4 linked regions of the Saccharomyces cerevisiae S288C genome follow. The gene in region 3 interacts genetically with the main gene of each other region. Each region holds a gene or a part of one and is shown on either strand. Other genes may lie near its edges. The genes, in order: YPL039W, PAU24, GYL1 and YVC1.

The links.
Region 1: mutations in GYL1 (region 3) and YPL039W together harm fitness less than expected from each alone (positive genetic interaction), as found in Saccharomyces cerevisiae (one large-scale study listed by BioGRID).
Region 2: mutations in GYL1 (region 3) and PAU24 together harm fitness more than expected from each alone (negative genetic interaction), as found in Saccharomyces cerevisiae (one large-scale study listed by BioGRID).
Region 4: mutations in GYL1 (region 3) and YVC1 together harm fitness less than expected from each alone (positive genetic interaction), as found in Saccharomyces cerevisiae (one large-scale study listed by BioGRID).

What each region holds. Positions count from the first base shown.
Region 1 is NC_001148.4:476,308-481,804, forward strand, and holds YPL039W (uncharacterized protein), read left to right. Parts: upstream 1-2,917; coding exon 2,918-3,868; downstream 3,869-5,497. Other genes in the region: isoleucine--tRNA ligase ISM1, read right to left, coding at 1-2,694; YPL038W-A (uncharacterized protein), read left to right, coding at 3,875-4,066; MET31 (Met31p), read left to right, coding at 4,228-4,761; EGD1 (Egd1p), read right to left, coding at 5,121-5,497.
Region 2 is NC_001134.8:806,411-811,043, reverse strand, and holds PAU24 (seripauperin PAU24), read right to left. Parts: upstream 1,988-4,633; coding exon 1,625-1,987; downstream 1-1,624. Other genes in the region: COS2 (Cos2p), read left to right, coding at 1-704; alpha-glucosidase MAL32, read right to left, coding at 3,939-4,633. UniProt on the Saccharomyces cerevisiae protein: Component of the cell wall.
Region 3 is NC_001145.3:645,323-651,769, forward strand, and holds GYL1 (Gyl1p), read left to right. Parts: upstream 1-1,795; coding exon 1,796-3,958; downstream 3,959-6,447. Other genes in the region: SPG5 (Spg5p), read left to right, coding at 334-1,455; mitochondrial 54S ribosomal protein bL28m MRPL24, read left to right, coding at 4,714-5,490; 60S ribosomal protein eL36 RPL36A, read left to right, coding at 5,823-5,838, 6,302-6,447. UniProt on the Saccharomyces cerevisiae protein: Probable GTPase-activating protein which stimulates the GTP hydrolysis rate by GYP5 of YPT1 and SEC4. Involved in ER to Golgi trafficking and polarized exocytosis.
Region 4 is NC_001147.6:484,371-490,941, forward strand, and holds YVC1 (Yvc1p), read left to right. Parts: upstream 1-3,336; coding exon 3,337-5,364; downstream 5,365-6,571. Other genes in the region: TCB1 (tricalbin), read right to left, coding at 1-2,409; Rab family GTPase VPS21, read right to left, coding at 5,826-6,458. UniProt on the Saccharomyces cerevisiae protein: Required for release of calcium ions from the vacuole in response to hyperosmotic shock.

The sequences.
Region 1 (5,497 bases), on a different chromosome or scaffold from region 3:
TTCCTCCTGGAACTGTTTTAGAATTTTTAGTTCAAAGTTTTCAAAGGAGGTGACGATTTCCGTATTTGAGTCCAAAAACGGCCATTTTCCACGCATCGGATTAATGTCTATATGTTCTTGTCCTTGTAACCATCCTTCTGGTATATACTTCCATACTTCTTGGACCATAACGGGTAATATTGGTGCAAGAATTGCCCTATATGCATTTAGTATATGGACAAGCGTTGTTTGGACCTGCCTTCTTGCCAATGACGATATTTGGTTGGAATATAAAATATCCTTTGAGATATCAAAATAAAACGCCGATAGCTCGTTATTTAAATGATATTGTAGAGTAATGAGAACCTTGGAAAAGTTGTACTTTTGGTAGTGTTCTCTCGTCGTTTCCAGCAGTTCGTTTATCTTATACAAGGTATATTGATCAACACGGCGTAATTGTTCAATCGGCAAAAGGTTGAAATCTTGGGACTTCTGTAAATTACTCAATAAATAGCGAAAAGTTAGTCTAACCTTTTTTAGAGCTTCTCCTACATGTTTCATCACAGTCGGGCCAGCAACTATATCAGTTGTGAAATTCGATTGTGCTATCAGATACCTCAAGCCATCAACACCCAAAGCTGGTAAGCCTAAGTTTTCATCGCCTCGAATTATTGCTTCGGGAGAAATTGTATTTCCCACAGATTTTGACATTTTCAGACCATTCTCATCTAGGGTAAAACCATGAGTAATCACTTCTTCATATGGTGCAACAGGGACATTACTTGATGCTACTTTTGTTAGCAGTGAACTTTGAAACCATCCTCTATGTTGATCAGATCCTTCTAGACAAACTTGGTACAGGGGGGATGGGAGTTTTGACAACTTTAAGCTTTTTTCATAAAAGTCTTTGATCACACTCCATGACGACCCACTATCAAACCACACATCCATAGTATCTTGAGAACGACAGTATTCATGCGCTACGTCGTGATATTTTTCTGGCAACCATTCTTTCATGTCATTATCTTTATCGTTAAACCATGCATTAATTCCTTTTTGTTTGATTTTTTCTATGGCATGTGCCAAAATTTCTGAATTCATCAAAACAGAATCCGGTTCGCTCTTCTTGTAAAAGCTTAATATAGGGATACCCCATGAGCGTTGCCTAGATATGCACCATTCATTTCTGCTTTTCATAAAGGATGAAAGTCTTGAATAGCCTCTTTTAGGACAAAACTTGACGCGGCTGATGCTTTCCAGAGCCAAGTTTTTTACATCGTGTAAATCTGCAAACCACTGTGGAGTAGCTCTTATTATGACAGGTTTCTTGGATCTCCAGTCGTACGGATAAGAATGCGTGTATTCGTGAGATTTGTAAAGTAAATTAAGGTCGCTTAACTTACATAGAATGATTTTCGCGGTTTCGGCATCCAATACTTGCCTACCTTTTGTTAAGTCTCCTTCATCTCTCACGATGGATCTGACGGACTGAGGAAGTTCATTTAATTGGTAGCGGCCCTGGTGATCCACGGGAGAATAAATTTCAAGACCATTTTGAATACCAATGAGATAGTCATCCTGTCCATGCCCTGGTGCTGTATGAACCAATCCAGTCCCTGTACCGCTGGTAACGTGTGCACCATGTAATAAGGGCCTGCCAACCTTATCGTCTACTAAGAGGTTTTGATAATATAGCCCATTTAGATGAGTTCCTTGAAACTGTTTGATAGTCTCAAATGAGTTAGTTGTTAGGCCCAATTTATCAATGGAGCCGGTCTCTACAAGGATAAGTTCACTATTTAAGCGTAATAGGGAGTAGGAAAAATCCTGATTGAAACAGATTGCTCGATTAGAGAGAAGAGTCCATGGAGTACTGGTCCAAATCAAACAGTATATAGGCAAGTTATTCGTTATTCCTAGTTTTTTGCACAGATCCATCTGGGATTTCTTTTCAAGAGGAAATTTAACATAAGCAGCGATGGATTTATGGTTTTCATTATATTCTAATTCGCCCTCTGCTAACGCTGTTCTAGTTTCTGTACCCCAGTAAACCGGTTTGTTCTGTCTCTTAATCAGTCCTCTTTCGTACATTTCTTTAAAAATATTTAGCTGATTAATTTCATAGTCTTTATCCATTGTTAGGTATGGTGTTTCCCAGTCCGTTAAGATGGCAAAATGTTGGAAAGTTTCCCTTTGCCTCTTGATTGCCTTTTGTGCATGTTTTAAAGCCATTGACCTGATTTTTAAAGGCGATATTGACTCGATCTGTTGCGCGCTTAAATCTTTCAAAGCTTTAATCTCGATGGGTAGTCCATGACAATCCCAGCCAGGCTTATAAAAAATGTACTTCCCCTGTGAAAGTTGATATCTGTTTATGATATCTTTCAGAATTTTATTTAGAGCATGACCGAGATGGAGCTCGCCGTTGGCATAGGGCGGTCCATCATGTAAGATGAACAACTTTTCTTTAATGAACTCTAATTTTTCATCAGTCGTATTAAGCTTTGAAAATTCTTCGAAGAAATCACGTAGCTGCTCCTTGTAAACTAACTGCGAAGATTTTGGTATTAATTCCCTCAATGTAATCTCTAAGTTTGATCTATTAGGGAATTTGGTCTTGGGCAAGTTTAATGTTTTTTGGTAGGCATGTTTGGCGAGATATCGCTTGCTAATAATGCTAAAGATATGTTGAGGCACAAGCCTGGAGCGCTTCATAAGTAGCTAAAGATCGTTCTTAGTATACTGTGTTCCATAACTTCTAGCCTTGGTCCTTTATATTTGCTGTTTTTCTGCGTTTCTTAACTCGCTTGCGGAAAAAGAATCGACATTTTCAGAACAGGATTTTATTGTTTTTAAAGTACATTATATGGGGCGACACATCATCGCCATCTATGTTAAATATTTAAAGAATACGGGGTAGAATTATTCACGCTGGGGGATGCTGAAAGAGGAGTATAATTTGAGCGGTGCTGATAACATGGCATCTGCTGAGTTGTCATTTAAAAAGCAAAAAGTGGTATTGAAAAAGTTCATGATAGCGCAAGTGACTAAGGGGATTATGCAGCGGTATGCGAGCCTATTAGTTACCATGCCTAGTGATGATGACAATGCAATTATTGGCACAAATCATTTGAAAACAACCAAATTTTTAGAAATAATCCTACACAGAGCCAAATCATCGCATTTACAGTTCAAAAAGGTCTGTTGCATTGTCATCAAGTTTCTAGATTGCTGCTCGAAGGAAACTAACTACATGAAGTTTTTAAAGTTCAGCTTACACAAACTATTTGTAGCTGCTTTCATCTTAAGTGTGCCAAATGTTGTAGGCGATGACCGCGACAGGATTACCACGAGGGATGAAACCTATCATCTCTATTCCCAGATAACAGGCTTGCCACTGGAAGAAGTGATAAATTGTTGTTCTATTGTGAGGCCTGTACTTATTCGGCGGAGTAGACAACAACGCAGGCAAATGTTATCTCGACGTGAACAACATTCGTACTTCCTCAGAAGTTCTTTTATGAACTCCAATTCATCAGCATCACCTTTTTTCTCTACCAATAGGTCAGCTGATGATCTACATGTACATACAAGGGCATACTCGCTTCATAGCCATTCCGATGGGGAAGGCCAAGATAGGCGGTCGGAACATGAAGAAACGCATAGCATGGGGGCTGATGCCGATACATATCGACAAACTACGTTTATCCCAGACACACCAAATGGTTTGCATTCTAGATCATTAATTGAGTGTGGGATCGAACCCACCCAAGTAAGTGACTCTGGTGAATGGTCGGGTCAAAGTAACGGATATGTTTTGGTGACAGAATTACAGGAGTTTAACAAAATGGGTAAAAAGTTAGTACAAGAAGCTTTTAGGATAGTTTAATAAAGTATGGTTTGTCGTTTTGTTCATCATTCAAGGGTCATTTTTATTTCCATTTATGATTTCTTGAGTACAAAAGGCAAAAAAAACATGTATAATTATACACAAGAAAAAAAAACAAAACAAAAGAACACTTTCACACAAGCAAGTATATATTATGAGAATTTTTTCGAGTCTTACAGAACCATATCTTGCCTCTAAATTTTAGTCTAAAAATTTTGCTAGCCCATCAATTTTTTTTTTGTTCTAATGCAAAATATAACATGGGTAAGAAAAAGAAAAAGCCGTTCCTCAGTACGTAAAGAGATTTGATCATTAACAAGTTGGGCTCAATATACACAGTCGATAGTCTATATGTGCATATGAAACTGGCGCAAGACATGAATGTAGATGAAATATTTCTCAAACAAGCGGCAGAAGCTATAGCGGTAATCTCATCAAGTCCCACTCATACGGACCCCATAATACGAGAGCTACTCCACAGAATTCGACAATCCAGCCCATTGAGCGCAGTTATACCAGCACCAGAAAATGTTTTAAAGGCTGGGGAGCCGGAAAATATGGCTAGAGGTCTTATAAGGATTCCAGAAACACAAACAAAAAGAACAGGAGGTAACAACCATAGCAAGGAAGGCGCACAGCTCTACAGCTGTGCGAAATGTCAGTTGAAATTCAGCAGAAGTTCTGATCTGAGAAGACATGAAAAGGTACACTCACTCGTGCTGCCGCATATTTGCTCAAACTGTGGCAAAGGGTTTGCCAGGAAGGATGCTCTAAAAAGACATTCTAACACACTGACCTGTCAAAGAAACAGAAAGAAACTAAGTGAAGGTTCAGACGTTGATGTAGATGAGCTCATCAAGGATGCGATAAAGAATGGTACCGGCCTGTTGTAAGGCTAGAGGAAAACGTATTTGTCTCCATCAGCACACCTACACATACATATATAGATAGATATATACTTTAGCCATTGAGATAAGTAGAATAAAAAAACGTTGTAATATTCCGATACAGTTAGTGACATGTTCTCTACTTTTGCCAATTTTTTGCGCACAAAGTGGTGACGTACAAGTTCATCATTTCACGTGTGCAGCATAGTGTGGTATATTGTTTTTTTATATTTTATTTTTTATTTTTTTTTTTTTGCAGAAAACAGTGTTTGTATTATATGCTTTAGATATGCTAAAAAAAATGAAAAAAAATGGAACAAAATATGTGTTTTTTTATTTAACGTTAAAATTAAAGATTAAGTTATTTATTCGACGTCAGCATCAAAAGTTTGACCTTCAACTAACTCTGGAATAGCTTCATCCTTCTTTTCAGCATCAGCTGGAGCCTTGGCTTCGTGCTTTTCCATTTGGGCAGCCAATTGAGACAAGGCTTGGATGGCTTCAGGGCCCAATTGAGAGATAATACCTGGGAACAAATCTTGCAAGTTCTTTTCCTGTGGTAGACCGTAGAATACAGAAGTGTTGTGTTGAGCAGCAACTTGGACACCGACCTTGTTGAAGTGCATGACCTTACCGTCGTCCTTGAAAAAGTTGGCTTCGGCGACGTTGTCAATGGTGACAGCGTGCAACTTAGCTAATTGACTTTGCAACTTGGTGTCATCCTTGTTGGCACCGGCAGAAG
Region 2 (4,633 bases), on a different chromosome or scaffold from region 3:
TCAATGCCATGGTCTGTCAAGAAGCGTTCAGAACAACCCTTCTCGAACCATTTTCTTTGAAAAAAGATAAAGCTGCCAAGGTTAAGTCATTTAAGGATTCCGTCCCTTACATTGAAGAAGCATTGGGAGTTTATTTTACAGAAGTTGAAAAACAATGGAAATTGTTTAATACTGAAAAATCATGGAGCCCTGTTGGCCTGGAAGATGCTAAACTTCCCAAGGAAGCTTACCGATTTAAGCTTACTTGGTTTTTAAAGAGGATTTCCAATATTTTTATGTTGATACCATTCCTTAATTTTTTGTGCTGCATATATGTGTCACGGGGAATGTGCCTTCTATTACGCACCTTGTATCTCGGGTGGATTCTTTTCATGTTGGTACAAGGTTTCCAAAATATAAGGGTTTTGATTATGAGCATGGAACACAAGATGCAGTTCTTGTCGACTATTATAAATGAGCAAGAAAGTGGTGCGAATGGATGGGACGAAATTGCAAGGAAAATGAATAGGTACTTGTTTGAGAAAAAAGCCTGGAAGAATGAAGAGTTTTTCTTCGACGGGATTGACTGTGAATGGTTTTTTAACCACTTCTTCTACCGCGTTCTATCTGCGAAGAAATCTATGTGGCCTTTACCATTGAATGTGGAACTATGGCCATACATTAAAGAAGCGCAATTATCCCGCAGTGAGGTGCTCTTAGTGTAGAGATAAATACAACTTTTTCAATTTATATATTTTGTAGTTTGTCAGCTGCGAATTACCAAAACGAGACTACTTTTTACCATTACAACCATTTTCTTTTTCCCTATTTCTCACTGGTTGAGAGAACTCGATGTGCCACCATCCTACCATATGCGCAAAACTTATTGTCTTTCTCCTCCCAGTGATGCTATATTCCATGCATATTCTGAACGATGGTTTGTGTTTTTATCAAGCAAGGTTAATCACATGGCGTGGCTTGCTCCACACATCAGTAGAAAACGCATACCGCAGCGGAATCCTTAAATAATAAGTGATTTTACTGTTCATCAACTACAATCGGACTCTTTCACAATTACCCTTCTTGTTTTCCACATTTATTGTTAATCAAGGAATATACAAAAGCTCATGAAAGCCTTTATTGAACACTAAATAGAAACCCTCCTGCCACGAAAAACTTCAAGATCGATAACTTTAATCTTAAAAATTTGACACATTTGAAGGCGACGACTCCGGGCCGATCGATGCCCTGAAAAAAAAAAAAAAAAAAATAAAGGCGACCTCGTTTAAGGTGAATATGGAAGAAAATGGTTATATAATTGCTTGAACATTTGTCGTTATATATTAACAATAGCATCAACCGGTTTACTAGCAAGTGAGTCTAAAATATGATTTTTTAACATAGATATTGATGACCCATGTCGTTGAAGTGGACACACATCGAAGAATACCACAAAAGGAAGAGAGGATTCTTGTCCTTGCTCCGCCAAGTTGTTCATAAATATCACGATTGACCAGTAGTAACAATATTAATATACACTTACATATAATCAACTATTTATACTATCAAAAAAAAAAAAAGCTTTTTTTTTTTTTTCCGTTATTTCTTAAGGTTTATGGAATTTCATTCGTAAAGGCATCAGTCTCTAGTTTGCGATAGTGTAGATACCGTCCTTGGATAGAGCACTAGAGATGGCTGGCTTTAATCTGCTGGAGTACCATGGGACACCGGTGATCATTCTGGTCACTTGGTCTGGGGCAATACCGGTCAACATGGTGGTGAAGTCACCGTAGTTGAAAACGGCTTCAGCGATTTCAACTGGGTAGGTTTCAGTTGGATGAGCGACTTGGAAAGAGTAGTATTGGGCCAAGTGAGCTCTGATATCAGAGACGTAGACACCCAATTCAACCAAGTTGACTCTTTCGTCAGATTGAGCTAGAGTGGTGGTTGCGGAAGCAGTAGCAGCGATGGCGGCAACACCAGCAGCGATTGAAGTTAGTTTGACCATTGTATTTGTTTTGTTTTTTAGTGCTGATGTAAGCTTAACAAGAAATAGTGAAATGAAAGCGCATACCTCAAAGATGGATAGCTACAGCAGCTCTATTTATATGAATGTCTTGCCAACTTCCCTGGCACAAACGAGTTATCATCTGGCACCCATCTCTCACCTAAAATGCCTCAGTGTACAATTTTCATCCCACATTCATTATTCATATTATTACGGTGCTTCTGTACTTGAACGATGCGTCTTTCATAGGTCCCGTATACGAGGCGCACGCTTCATAGTGCCTATACCTTTTATTGCATTTCCAAGGCACAAGAATGTTTTCTCACAGTGTACATACTTCCGAAGAATCCCTTTAGGGTGCCTTCAGAGATGCAGCTGCAGCTTTTGGCCAAGAAAAAGCCAAAACCAAATTTGCTTTGAACCCTCGTTAAGAGGCCACCTAATCTTTGTGCTCTAAACGGTTGCTACGGGAAAATTGTCGATTCTGTTTTTCTTAAAATAGAAAGTGAAAGACTTATCGAATACCGGAGTCGTATATTGTAGGTGCCTACAGTCTTATACACTGCCAGCAAAAATGTTGACAAGAATAAATGAGCATTCGAGGTGCTACGAAGCCCTAGTTCTGAAACAGCGGAACTTCCACTGGATCAAGCTGGCCATACCGGAAACTATACCGGAAATTGATAAATCAACATCTTAATAAGTATTATATAATTTTTTTTGTAATACTAATAATCGGAGAACAGCACCAGCGCTTCGTATGTTAGGCAACGGTTGCCGCCTAGGTCTACGTTTCTCTATTCATTATATGGTAAGTGAAGGAGACAAAAAGTGGCGGCTTACATACAGAACTTCTATCCTATGGATGTACCTGCAGTCTTTCTGTTTGGATGAAATTGATAGAGGGCTTAGTGTTACTAATACAGAAAGCCTTTAAGCCTTTTTCTCCCTTTTATTCACCGTTTCAATATGTCTATCATTCTGGTCATGTGTTTTTCTTCCAGGAATTTACAATTATTACAGCGATAAGTAATCATACGTATCCAGATTATAGGCCCGTTGCTGAAGAATAACTACACTTCTCTGATATATAGTTATAGCTCAATAACTAATGGCATAGGGGACACAGATTTTCGTAGTCAAATTTCTCAAAGGATAAGAGCGTCATTCCACCTCTTCTCTTCACTTCGTTGGCTTTTATATATTGATTGTGGGGTGTTAATGTTGTAGAGTTACCGAAGTAGCAAGATTCTTATGCGCTTATTTTCTTTTGCTTAATCACACTGTCTAAAGCATATGGATTATGGACAGATGATTGGTTTAGTTCATCTGAAGGCTAGACAATAAAAGGCGGGTTCGGAAGGGGGTAGGCATGCTCAGACTTGACGTAAACGCATAAGCCGGCAATGTTGAATCGATTTTGTAACTCGCCTGAGTGTTACATGAGATTACATATAGGATCGAACCATCACGAAATCAATTACGCTGTGTTATTGAATCATAAAATCACAGAGCTTCCCGAGAAAACGCTAAATTATGTGTCAAGTACTGTGGGCATCTCTTAACGCTATCTTATATTCATTTCACTTTTTATATCTAGTCCTTTTCTTTTCTTTATTAAATAAAACTACCACCTTGTATGATTCTTAGCAAGACATTCCAGCATTAATACCAGCACAGGTTTCTTCTCCCTTGTTTTCATCCGAAGAGAAAGGATAGTGCTTCTTATGCTTCATTAATAATTTGGAATTCACATTTATATACACGCTAAATATCATAATGAACGAGGATCATGTAGAAAAACACATTTACCCATAATGGTGAAACAAATTATCAACAGTGCTTTTACGTTATCATCATTTACATATAAAAAATTTATCTAACAAAAATCATGTGAAAAATCATCTGTTATTTCGTTAAAGTACGCGCTAAAAAAAAGTCGGCACTAATTTTATTTGACGAGGTAGATTCTACCTTCCCATGGTTTCAAAACTCTGGAGGAAACGTCAGTATCATCATAATTTCCAAGAATAAAAGATAAAGAAGCACCTTCTCTTGGGAGGCTGAATTCAATTTCTTCGCCACTGAAATTCAAAGCAGCAAACAGCGTCTTGTCTTCGTACTCTTTAGTGAAGCTAAAGATCTGGTCACTGTCTAAATCAATGAATTGGAAATCGTAACCATAAATCATAAGTTCCTTATATTTCTTTCTGGCTTGCAAGGCCCTTTTCCAAAAATTGAGAACTGAGTCATCATCTCTGGATTCCTGCTCAACATTGATTCCTTGCTCAAAAGATTCATTCAAGAAAAACCAAGGTTTAACATCTGGGCCAGTAAATCCAGCATTGGGCTTATCTTTCGTCCATGGCATGGGAGTTCTCGAATGATCTCTAGAAAGTAGGGCGATTCCTTTAAAAAAATCCTTCATTTCCTTCGAGTTTTTACCAAAACTTTTTTTGATAATCTCGTAGTTGTTTTTCACATCAACGTCCTCATACTTTTCAATAGGCCATTCCTTGAAATTGATCTGGCCTATCTCCTGACCTTGATAGACATACAACGTACCTGTCAATGAACATTCTAGCAATGTTAACAGCTTACCAGATATTTTACGGTACTTTGGCGAATCGTCAGCAAATCTCGTAA
Region 3 (6,447 bases):
TTCCTCTAGCCAATGACTCCAAGCTGGCTGATAAAAACAAACTAAACGGTAAAGCCACAAATCCGAAATGTATCACCAATGATCACCCAGCCTGCTAAGTGCCCTCTATTGATCCGTATATCAGCTTTTAGATCAGGCTCGAGTTTCTTGTTATATGTGCATTGCAAAAGCATAAACAAATCCTGGCAGCCGAAGCCGGGCAATCCACTTCGAAACGCACGGCTGAACTATATAAATATAAAGGACATGTGGAGAGAAGCTTCTCTTCCTTCACATTTCGCATTTCATGATCTAAAGTGGTTCTTTCACAATAGAAGAGCACCAACACGAAATATGGCTGTCGGTGGTAATAACTGGAGCATGTGGCTGCGAATGTCACGGGTCCACCTCAGGCAGATCACGAAGTCTCTGGACCGAACGCTGATCAGTTTGAGCCATGGGAATTTTTCCCACCAATATAATCGCAATATTTTTGTCACTTGGTGGAAGAGCCTATTTGAGGCTTCTACAGCTTTTAGGAGGGCAAGTGGTTTAACGGTATCTCCTCTCACGAGGAGAGGAATCGCAAGGTTTGACCATTTCAGACCTGTTCCCAATGTCAGTAAATTTGCTTCTTTTCCCAGAGTGCCCAAAGGAGCCCCAAGGGGCCTTTTTACCAACTGGAATATGACTACATCAAAGAGATTATTAGGGCAGAGAGCTTATTCGACTTCCAGTATCAAATTTACCCAAGAAGCCGTGAATAACATGACTATATCTTTGAGGTGTTTTTTCAACTCACTAGGCGGATTAAATCAGTGCTCCCACTCTAATTCCTGCAAAGCTTATCAGAATGCGTCTAATGTTACCTCTAAACAGGATCACGTCCAACCAGTTGCCCTTAAGAAGTTATCTCAAAAGGATATCAATTTCATTCGTAATTTAGAACTATTTAAGATAATGAAGACCCAGAATGAAGTCGTTGATGAAACAAGCGCATATTACATGGAAAAACCAGGTTCCTATATTGAATTTACCATTTCAGAATTTAACGTTAATGGGACATTCTCCGCACCTTTGTCATTTTTAGATCCTTCTTTGTTAGCGGATTTGGATGAAATGATTAGAAATTACAAATACGAATTAAAATCAATATACAGTAGTGTTGACATGATCTTGCAGAATTATGGATCATTGCCGATAACTTTTCATCGAAATAAGATTCGAATACATTTTCCAAACTCAACTGTGGTGGAAACAGAAAAACTAATTGCAGGTCTGAATATTGCTACGGGTGTTATTTACGCAGATACGTCTCCCGATATCAGTCTAGAAGGTACAAATTTGAATGCTCTGGTTAATGTTGACAATTCAGGAAGCGTATGGTCTTTTGTTAAGGAGCCCTCGTTTCCCTCTAGGAGCGCTTTTTCACCTATTTTATCAGATGCATCCTATGATACTTATGAATTGGTCTAGCAAAGACGTTGTTTCATCGCGCTATTACCAAGAAGGTTACTTTACTTGTTCTTGCACATGGACGCACGTTGTGTGTTCATATATATATATATATATATATATATATATTTGTGCTTGTTTTCATTGTCTCTATAGTTAATACATTCTATTTTTATCGTTATATTTGCATTCTCTTCGCATAAAAACTTCATGAAAATTCGGCAGAAAATAAGCCATATATGTACTTTATCCATAGGCAAAGAAAAGCACTTAACGAGAATATACAACAATTGCACTAGTACTGCATGTATATACTCTTATGATTATAGCGGCAAGAAAACAAATATAAACACACTAACAGATGAATTCGAATGAAGATATACATGAAGAACGCATTGAAGTTCCACGAACTCCCCATCAAACCCAGCCAGAGAAAGACTCTGATCGCATCGCTCTCAGGGATGAAATATCAGTACCAGAAGGCGATGAAAAAGCATATTCGGATGAGAAAGTAGAAATGGCAACCACAAATGCATCCAGTAACTTTGGCTCAAATGAAAGTGCAAAAGACGGCGAATCAATCGGCGCCTTTTCAAATCCCCATGAGGCTCTGATGCAGTCAAAATTGAGAGAAGAATCCCAGAGTAAAACCATACTACCATCCGATGACCTCAGCCAGCAATTAGAAACCGAAGAATCCAAAGTTGAAGAGGCTCTAAAAAGAATAACCTCACCCCCATTACCACCGAGGGCTGACTGCATAGAAGAATCTGCATCTGCTCTTAAATCCTCATTGCCTCCAGTGCTAGCAGGAAATAAAAATGATCAAGCCCCCCTTGACCGACCACAGTTACCTCCGAGGCAGGTAGTTAATGCGGAAACTCTTCATTTGAAGGCGCCCCATGGTAATGCGACTCCCTCCAAATCACCAACGAGTGCTGTAGGTAATTCTTCTTCATCGACCCCTCCAACCTTACCACCACGCCGTATAGAAGATCCTTTAGACTTGGCTGCTCAAAAACATTTCCTAGCGAGTACATTTAAGAGAAATATGCTCTTTTATAAAAGTGAAGATAACTCTATCAAATGTGATTTGGATAAAAATATACTAAATTTAAAAGAAGATTCAAAAAAAATTAACAACAATGAAATTCCTGAAGAGGTTAGTTCATTTTGGTTAAAGGTTATCGGCGACTATCAAAATATCTTAATAAACGATATCGAAACCTTACATTTCCAACTATCTCGAGGTATACCAGCCGCTTATCGATTGGTAGTCTGGCAGTTAGTAAGTTATGCAAAATCGAAATCCTTTGACCCTATATATGAAACGTATCTAACGGAAATGGCACCTTTTGACGTCCAGGAATTTGAAAATCAGCTAAAAATGATGGACGAAGTTCCCTCTGAATACGTAAAACGCATAAGTAATGTGTTAAAGGCTTATTTACTTTTTGACCCAGAGTGTGAGTTTTCTACCGACATTGCTTATATTATCAATATGATTCTTGACGTTTGCGAGGAGGAGGCAAATGCATTTGGTCTACTTGTACGCCTAATGAAAGTTTACGGTTTAAGACTCTTGTTCTTACCAAGTGCTTCTGAGATCGATATTCTTTGCTATAAATTTGATAGACTTGTAGAAGAATTTTATCCTGAAATTCACAACCACATGGTTGAAAAAGGCGTCCGTTCTTCCATGTTTTTGCCCGGTTTCTTCACGACACTGTTTCAAAAGAAACTTCCCACTGAAATTCAACCACGTATCGGTGATATGGTATTTTTAGAAGGTATTGACTCTATTATGAGAATTTTAGCCACACTTTTATCTAATTCCCGAGACCATCTGTTAAAAATGGGTTTTGATGATATGCTGGAGCTATTGAAATCAGGTCTGTTAGATGCTTATATTAAGCAGAATGATGGTACACGCGGTGACACTCTTCTCTCAAATGAATGTATGGATAAATTACTACAAGACTCTATGATGAAAGTAGCAATAACCCCAAAGACTATGAAGAAATATTCTTCTGAATATGAGGAAATTCACAGATTGGACAATGAAAAAGAAGTGCAATATAAGTCTATCACGGAAAAAAATTTACATTTACAAAAGCATGTTCGTAAATTAGAAAACGACTACACATCTTTAAATAGAGAGCATGTGACAATTGCGAACGAGTTAGTGAAAAATCGGCTTAATATCGAGTCTGTATTAAATGAAAATAATGGTTACAAACTTCAAATTTTAGATTTGAAGAAAAAGTTGGATTCAGAAAAAAAGAAGCAAGTTTTAGGTGTATATGTGCCCAATGATTTAAAGAAAGATTTGGAAGAGACAATGAAAAAGAATACCCAAGTAATGGACGAAAATTTGAAATTGCAGGATAGGATTTCAGAACTAGAAAGGCTTATTGAAGAAATAAAAACTGCAAACAAAAATGGTACGTTATTCGAATATTCTAATTCTAAAAATAATCCTTTGGGAGCCGGCTGGTCAGGATTTAAAAAGGTTTTTAAATAGTTAAACTGTGTATATCAGCTACTGCTCCCCTTGAATGATACATGACTAAATATAATGATAAATTTATTTCTTGATTTTTGATTATTTCATATTTTGTTGACATTTGAGAGCTTCAATTGTATAAAGTTGCAAGATAATATATGAGGTTAGGGAAGCCGGATAAAGAAAATAGAGTACTTTAAAACTGTTCATGGACTAAGAATTCAGTGACGATGAAGTAGTAAAGGAGAGTGTTTAGGATATAAATAAGACCGAGAAATTGTTAGTAAGCATTACTTCTAGCAGAAATAATGAACCACAATCGTGACAATATATACTCGAGTTAGCAGTTAACAGTAACCCTTTCCATACCATTCTAAACTTTGCAACAGTAAATATCTTGGCGTTTAACGTTTTATTTTATTCTACGTTTCTCAAATATCGGCTGTACTCATGTGGCACATCATGAAAAGAGCCTTCATATCAAGAATTCAAGAATTTTAATTACATCGTGACAACGGTTTCCTAAACTTTTAGTAAAAACAATTAAATGTGCAATTTTGTTGATTATACTGTGGACAAATTGAGCTTAGTACGTTTCCTTCTTCTCTTTCTGCAATTATATTTAATTAAATAATCTCGTATTCTCGCATCCGGGCACGCTTTGTGAAATTCATTTGAGAAACCAAAAACAGCTGATCAGCTAGAGCTATTAGAAGTTAGTGCCCAGGGGTATAGAAAAATCAGTTTAAGGAAGAAAAAGCTCACAGAAGAATATGCAAAAAATTTTCAGACCATTCCAATTAACGAGAGGCTTTACCTCTTCCGTAAAAAACTTCAGGCAATGGAGACTGATTGAAACAAGGAAGATTGCCAAACAACCGAACTACCAAGTTGGTGATGCTAAACCTTTACATATGCCAAAAGAAAGAAAGAAATTTCCAGATTACAAGTATGGGGAATCTAATATCTTCAAACAGAGTAACAAAGGTCTATATGGTGGATCTTTCGTTCAGTTTGGTAACAATATTTCTGAAAGTAAAGCCAAAACGAGGAAGAAGTGGTTGCCAAATGTTGTCAAAAAAGGTCTCTGGAGTGAGACTCTGAACAGAAAAATCAGTATCAAAATGACCGCTAAAGTTTTAAAAACAATCAGTAAAGAAGGAGGGATTGACAACTATTTAACAAAGGAAAAATCTGCAAGAATAAAAGAATTAGGGCCGACCGGATGGAAGCTTCGTTATAGGGTTTTAAAAAGAAAAGATGAAATAGAGAATCCCCCACATAAGGATGCACCTATCATAGAAATGGCTGGTGGTAAAAAGGCCAAAATTTACTATGATGAAATAGTAAACGGCTCACCAAGAAAAATATCAGTTGGAAGAAGAAGATTGATGTCATTTTTATATCCTTTAGAGAAATTGGAATATAGGTCAGTAGGGAAGGACCTGAACTACAAAAAATTTGTCGAGTTATTTGCCGACGTTCCAGTCAAGGATATCCTAGCTAGATTAGAGGATCATAAATTCGACTTATCCACCATCACCGTATAAAAGGAAGAAATAAAGAAGATAATTGCCATTCCGAAAATATCGTTGGTTTTCCCCTGTATATAAAAAAGCATATCTGTTTGTACATATGTAGGTATGCACACATTCTGAACATTATTGATGCGTATATGCTTGCTACATTAATTGGCAATTCATTTTTTAGACTGTTTTACACCCGTACATTTCACAGTTTTTTTTTGAAGTTAAATTCCAACTGAATGGAAGCCTCCGCTCCTATGAAATTTATTTGAAATCAGAGATTTCAGGATGTTGAACAGTATAGTACTGATTTACAAGTATCAAAGAAACAAGAAAGACAGCAAACACAATAAGAAATGACCGTTAAGACAGGTATGTGAGACATAAACAAGGAACTGAACGGGTTATGACGATTTTCGAACTTATAAAGGGGTTTACCCCAAATACGAGAAGAACATGAGTGCATTGAAAACTTAAAAGGAAACAAAAACAAGAATATTATATAATTTTGAGTGATTAATGACCAATGGAAATAGCCAGAGGAAAAATACCATTTAATATGCATACACAGGCTTATCTCTTCACTCCTATCTAAAAAACTATTGTGTTTGAAGATGAGGTCCATTTTACAAAAAGAATAGTATTGCGAAAACGCCTTCAAATGGAACATTTTAGTAGTTGCACCATTGTAAGAATTGCCATGGAAAACAATCACAAAAAGATGCTATACAAAGCCGTACATTATACGTCACTTCCCGCCGACACATATACACGTGTATATGTATGCCTATTTCACATGTTACTAACTGAAGACAACCTGTGTCCTTATATTTAGGAATTGCTATTGGTTTAAACAAAGGTAAGAAGGTCACTAGCATGACCCCAGCTCCAAAAATCTCTTACAAGAAAGGTGCTGCTTCCAACAGAACCAAGTTCGTAAGATCTTTGGTCAGAGAAATCGCTGGTTTGTCTCCATACGAA
Region 4 (6,571 bases), on a different chromosome or scaffold from region 3:
TTTATCTAAATCTTGGATTTCCTCTAACGTTAAAACAGGTAAAGCGGGATAAAAGGAGGTATAGTATGTTATAGTGCCCTTAGGTTTTTTCTTAGGCATCACTAGACGACCAACTTTAGCTTTTTCATCAATAGTTTCCTCATATTTATCATTCTCATCCTTCTTAAATAAATCTTGAACGTTAACATTGAATTCACCAAGTGAACGATCTTTGTTGACTGTTTCGACATCCATACATTGAAGCGTAATTCTTTGGTTTGGTGAAGTAACTGCAACATAAATAACTTGATTCCAGACAGGATTCAAAGTTTGGCTCTTGAAATCAGTTCTACCCTTCGATAAACCATTAACCAAAACTTTACAGTATGGATCAATGGTACCAAACTTTTCCAAATTTCTCAAATCGTTTGCCTTCTCAATGAATACTCTGATGGCGCCAATTGGTGGCGTGTAAGCTACAGAGTTGGAACCAATCTCCAGTCTAACAGGTCTCCAATATGTGGTAATCTTTATGTCACCCTTTTGGTTTTTTAATGGAATCAAATTTTTGTTCACTTGGCTTCTATCTATTAAATCATTCAGGGTTTGAATGGTAGATCCAATTTCTTCTCCTTTGCCATCCTTGACGACAAACTTATATCTTGTTTTACGACGATCTGCAATAACTGCTTCGTAGTCTGAATTCCACTTCAATGTACCAGTGTCAGTTGCCTTACCAGTGGTTAACACTAGTTTAGCATTCAAGTAAACTTCAACGTAGGCAGTAACCTTCTGTTCTTCTTCAGCAAAACGAGAACCTTCTTCGACCACAACTTTAGCAATACCAGTATTCAAATCCGGTAGTTCCTCCACAGATCCATCCGGCAACTTTTTCTCTTCTAAAGTTGGGAAGAATCTTAAATCAAAAGTCAATTCCCCAACCGGTTTAGAGTTTCTTAAAAACTGAGCTTTCAAGTTTCTTTGCGTGGTTTTATCATGTAAAGTATTCAAGTTGTACTGAATTCTGCCTAGGACTTTATCCTTCAATTTTGCACGCTTATCATAAACACTAATGGTCAAGGGGTCAGTGAATGAGTTTAACAAGACGTACAGAGTTTCGTCCCAAACGGGGTTCAATGTGTCTCTTACGGTTCTTGTCTTGGCAATAGATATATCGTTAAATTCGAAAGATAAGTAAGGGTCGATTGATTCGTTCAATATCGAAGAGGTACGTTTTAGCCCCTTTGCATTTTTGACAGTTATTTCTAATATACCAATGGACAAGTTGGAACCAGATAAGAGTTGTGGAATGTTCAATTGTAAAGAAAATGGAGGTAACAAGATTGGACCCATATATTTCTTGGCCATCTTTTGTATTAGTGTCATAAGGCCTGGGATAGCTAAAATTTCCCAATTGAAGATGGAACGGCCGAATAAGGTAGCAACAAAATCAAAATCAGGAACCTTCAGTAGCTGGATATTAACAGTTTCGACATGAGGGAAGGGAGTCATCAATTTGAATTTCACTCTAGCATGAGCCTTGAAAGCAATGTCTGACACAGAAACAGGGATGGTGATACCAAAAATTTTGGCCTTAACAACCGCTAATTCATTAACGTAATTTCTGACTTGCTTAGCACTCATGTCGCATAAATCGTGAGGAGTAAAAGAAATACCCCAGTCCATCACAACAACATCGGATGCAGTGTTTTGGAAAGTCTTCACCAAATCAACTCTGGGGGGTTTAACACCAAGTGTCAACTCATCGATCCATAGTTGAGTAATAAATTTGGGAATCGCCTCATTAGTAGCCATTTGTTCATTAGCTTGCTGAACGATTAATTGACTAACGGAAGGTTCTAAAATGGGCCAGTACTTATCCAAAAAGGCATTCAACCATTCTAGGGATTCATAGTCGTTTTCCACTTTCTGCACCGTGAACTCTTTCTGGACTAACTCTCTTATGGAACCTCTGTATTTTTTAGCAGAGGTTCTATACAACAATGAAGTGATAACGATGACAAAAAAGGCCGACCCCATTGAAAACTTATAATGACCAAGTGCAAATGATGCCACGCCTCCGATAAAGAAAATGGCTACCGAATGATACCAGTCACCGTAAAGGCTGTCCGGTATGATGTTATCTAAGAAGGTTTCTCTAGTCATATCCATCAATTCATCATCTAAAGTTAATTCGTCTTTGTCTTCCCAGCCACCAATCTGTTTCCAGCCGACATAAGAAGCTTCATGGATACTTCTCTTGAAGCTTTCATCACTAGCATGTGCCGCCTTCTCAGATGACACGCTTTTACTGGATTCGGTTTCCTCTTTCGTCTTTGGAGGTTCTAACTTATCTATCCCATTTATGTTAGCTACTTGGGCTGTTTCGGGCTTCTTTGGTGCTGTTACCCCAGTATCTTCTTTGGCCATATTGTATGTACCACGCAATTGAAGTTTTCAGAATGCACTAGCTATCTTTTTTTATCTTAGCTATTCTTCTTCAATTATCCTACTTATTCTTCAGCAAAAAAAAAATAATAAGCTAAGACAATGCTATACAAGTCAATTACCAGCCAGTAAGTCCAAATTGGAGTAGCCAATGCTATTAGTTGATAATTTTGACGGCCGATTATACTATTCCAATTGCAGCAACATCCCTGTCCCTTAGCTTTTTGAGGGGCCTTTTGTTATAATTTTTCATGCAGCATTCCGGTCGCCAAAGTTGTTATCACTTCTAACGTAAATCGTTTTCTCGTTATGTCCGCTATTTTAGAATGAGAATAATGGATAAAATTGGCCTAAAAAGGGAGCGAGTATAACGTTACTGAGATACAATTGTACATTTTGCCATGGAAATGAGCCAACTAGTCTAATGAGATTTTCAATGCTTTATTTCTTTTTTTAGTTTCTCATTTTATTGTTTCTCTAGTTATTAGTCCTTTGGTTATTTTTATGTCACCACCTCTTGTCACATGACCATTTTTGTTACTTGCTTGGTTTTACAATGATTTATACATTCTTGGGCCTCTCTTGACATATTTTTATCGTCATAATAAGTTCTTCATTCGTTCTCTAAAACAACAAAGTTAGACTCCATGGCCAAGTTGGTTAAGGCGTGCGACTGTTAATCGCAAGATCGTGAGTTCAACCCTCACTGGGGTCGTTAATTTTTTAATTTTTCTCCTACACTGTTGCTATGTCGGAGTTATCTCATAAGAGCTGAAAATATGTGGTAAATTTAGTCAGTATCCTTCGAGGATCAGCTAGAGCCTATTCAATGCAATTGTCATTAATCAGTGGCTTGGTAAGGCAATAGAATTCAGTTATAAAATATAATATTACTAGAACAGGAGCATTATGGTATCAGCCAACGGCGACTTGCACTTGCCAATTTCTAACGAACAGTGCATGCCGGAAAACAATGGATCTCTTGGATTTGAGGCCCCCACTCCGAGACAGATTCTCAGGGTTACGTTAAATTTGAAATACTTAATTGATAAGGTCGTACCTATTGTTTACGATCCCAATGATATTGTTTGTGACCATTCTGAGATTTTATCTCCAAAAGTTGTGAAGCTGGCTTATGAAGCATGTGGCGGGAACCCTAAAGACAAGGCCAACAAAAGAAAATATCAATCTGTCATTATTTTTTCACTTCTTAAAGTTTGTGAGTGGTATTCCATATTGGCCACTATGGAAGTGCACAATGCCAAACTTTACGAAACCAGAAATTTAGCCTCACAACAGTTATGTAAATTGTTAATTGAAAGGGAGGAGACAAGAGACCTGCAGTTTCTTTTCATGCAGTTACTGCTGCGTCGGTACGTAATCAACGAGAACGATGAAGATCAAGAACCGTTGAATGCCTTGGAACTTGCCACAGATATGCACTGTACTACAGTGATAGGATCGAGTGGATTTCAGCGTTGTTTAAAATGGATATGGAGAGGATGGATAGTCCAAAATGGCTTGGATCCCACAACTTTTATCAAGGACGATTCACTGGCGGAAGTGTCATTGATCTCTCATTTCAACCCCGTAAGATTAAAGGCGCCTGTATACCAAAATTATTTGCAGATGATCTTCTCATTTTTGTTTCTAGGGCTTTATACCTTGGTGGTTAATGGTAAGGACTCTGAGAGAGTCCAATCTTTCGATTTGTTAGAAAGCATATTTTATGTTTTCAATACTGGTTTCATCTTGGATGAGCTCACTAAGCTTTATTATATTGGTTATGCGCACCTATCGTTTTGGAATTTATTTAATGATACCACATATTTGATAATCACGTTTGCTATGGGGTTCCGTGCAATGAGCGTAACGCCCCTTAATGCAAAATACTCTTCAGAAGATTGGGATAAAATATCATATAGAGTCTTATCCTGTGCAGCACCATTTGTGTGGTCGAGACTCCTACTATACCTTGAATCACAAAGGTTTATTGGGATTATGTTGGTTATCCTAAAACATATGATGAAAGAATCCATTGTATTTTTCTTCCTTCTATTCTTAATAATGATAGGATTCACTCAAGGTTTCTTAGGTTTGGATTCCGCAGATGGTAAGAGAGATATCACCGGACCCATCCTGGGTAATTTAACAATCACCGTTTTGGGTCTTGGTAGTTTTGATGTTTTCGAAGAATTCGCTCCCCCATATGCGGCAATACTGTATTATGGTTACTATTTTATTGTTTCGGTTATCCTTTTGAATATATTAATTGCTTTGTATTCGACTGCGTACCAAAAAGTTATTGACAATGCAGATGACGAGTACATGGCTTTGATGTCACAAAAGACGTTGAGATACATTAGAGCACCTGATGAAGATGTCTATGTTTCTCCATTGAACTTAATTGAAGTGTTCATGACACCTATCTTTCGTATTCTTCCACCGAAGCGTGCTAAAGATTTGAGCTATACTGTAATGACAATAGTGTACAGCCCATTTTTGTTGCTTATTTCTGTTAAAGAAACTCGGGAGGCTAGAAGGATAAAATATAACAGGATGAAAAGGTTAAACGATGATGCCAATGAATATGATACTCCATGGGATTTGACAGATGGCTACTTGGATGATGATGACGGTTTGTTTTCTGATAACCGAAATTCTGGCATGAGAGCCACCCAGTTAAAGAATTCCCGTTCGCTAAAACTGCAAAGAACAGCAGAGCAGGAAGATGTCCATTTTAAAGTCCCTAAGAAGTGGTATAAAAACGTTAAAAAATGCAGTCCCTCCTTCGAACAGTATGATAACGATGACACTGAAGATGATGCTGGTGAAGATAAAGATGAAGTCAAAGAGCTCACTAAGAAAGTGGAAAACTTGACAGCTGTAATTACCGATCTACTCGAAAAATTAGACATAAAGGATAAGAAAGAGTAAACGACATGTGTTCAAATACTGCTTAATTAATTTCTCAGAAATCCATATATATATATATATATTGCTCCTCATTGCAACTTTGTAAATTTAATGTTCCTTTAATTTATCATTATTTACAATATTAACTAATCCATCTCCCGATTTTCGGCATAAAATAAGTTTATATTTTGGTCTACATGAAAACAAAAGTTTAACTAAACTAACGTGTACAAACCACTTTGAAACGTATATAAAGGTCTAATAAAAACGACTGGCGTTTTGAAAGATAATATAATGATCTAATGCAGTTAAAAAATTTACAAATTATAAGAAGAAAAGAAAAACAACGATTACGGTAAAAAATGAAAACTCCCTCTCCTTTCTAGGTACGATAAATTATGACTTTCATCTTTCCCGTTTTGAAGATCTATTTATCTCAATTTGCCCAGACTTTTTTTTTATATATATTTATTTTCCCCTCTCTAACAACTGCAAGCACTGTTTGCGCTGGTCCCATCATTAGCAGCGTTCAAATCCACTCTTTGATTGTTCGACTCACGTTCGTTACTTGCACTATTTTGCTCTTCAGCCGTCTTCAGTGGTATCTTTTCACCGATTCCCAAAAATACATCGTTAACATTCTCTCCTGTCTTTGCACTTGTTTCAAAGAACAACAAGCCCTTTTCTTCCGCTAGCTTTTCACCTTCTTCCCTTGCGACTTTTCTTTCCCCACCTTCTTGCAGCATATCGATCTTGTTACCAACTAACGCAATGATGATATCCTTTGATGCCTGTTCATGTAATTCCTTAACCCAGTGGCGCGCTTTAATAAAGGATTGTGGTTTTGTAACGTCGTATACTACAAGAGCAGCTTGTGCGTTTCTATAGTACATAGGTGCTAAAGATGCAAATCTCTCTTGCCCAGCAGTGTCCCATATTTCAAACTTAACAGTATGTTCATTTATAGTAACTCTTTGAGTGAGGAATGCTGCACCAATGGTGGGCTCCTTATTTTCGGCAAAATCATTAGATACAAACCTTAGGACTATTGACGATTTACCAACTGCTGCCTCACCCAACAGTACCAACTTTATGGAAGTGACTGATGTGTTCATTTTTTTGTGTGATAAAAGGGATATTTTTTTATAGCTTAGATAAGTCGACGATCTTGCTTTTTATTTTTAAAATCGTTGCCACTTTTATAAGATAAGCTGCTCGTATTTTCACC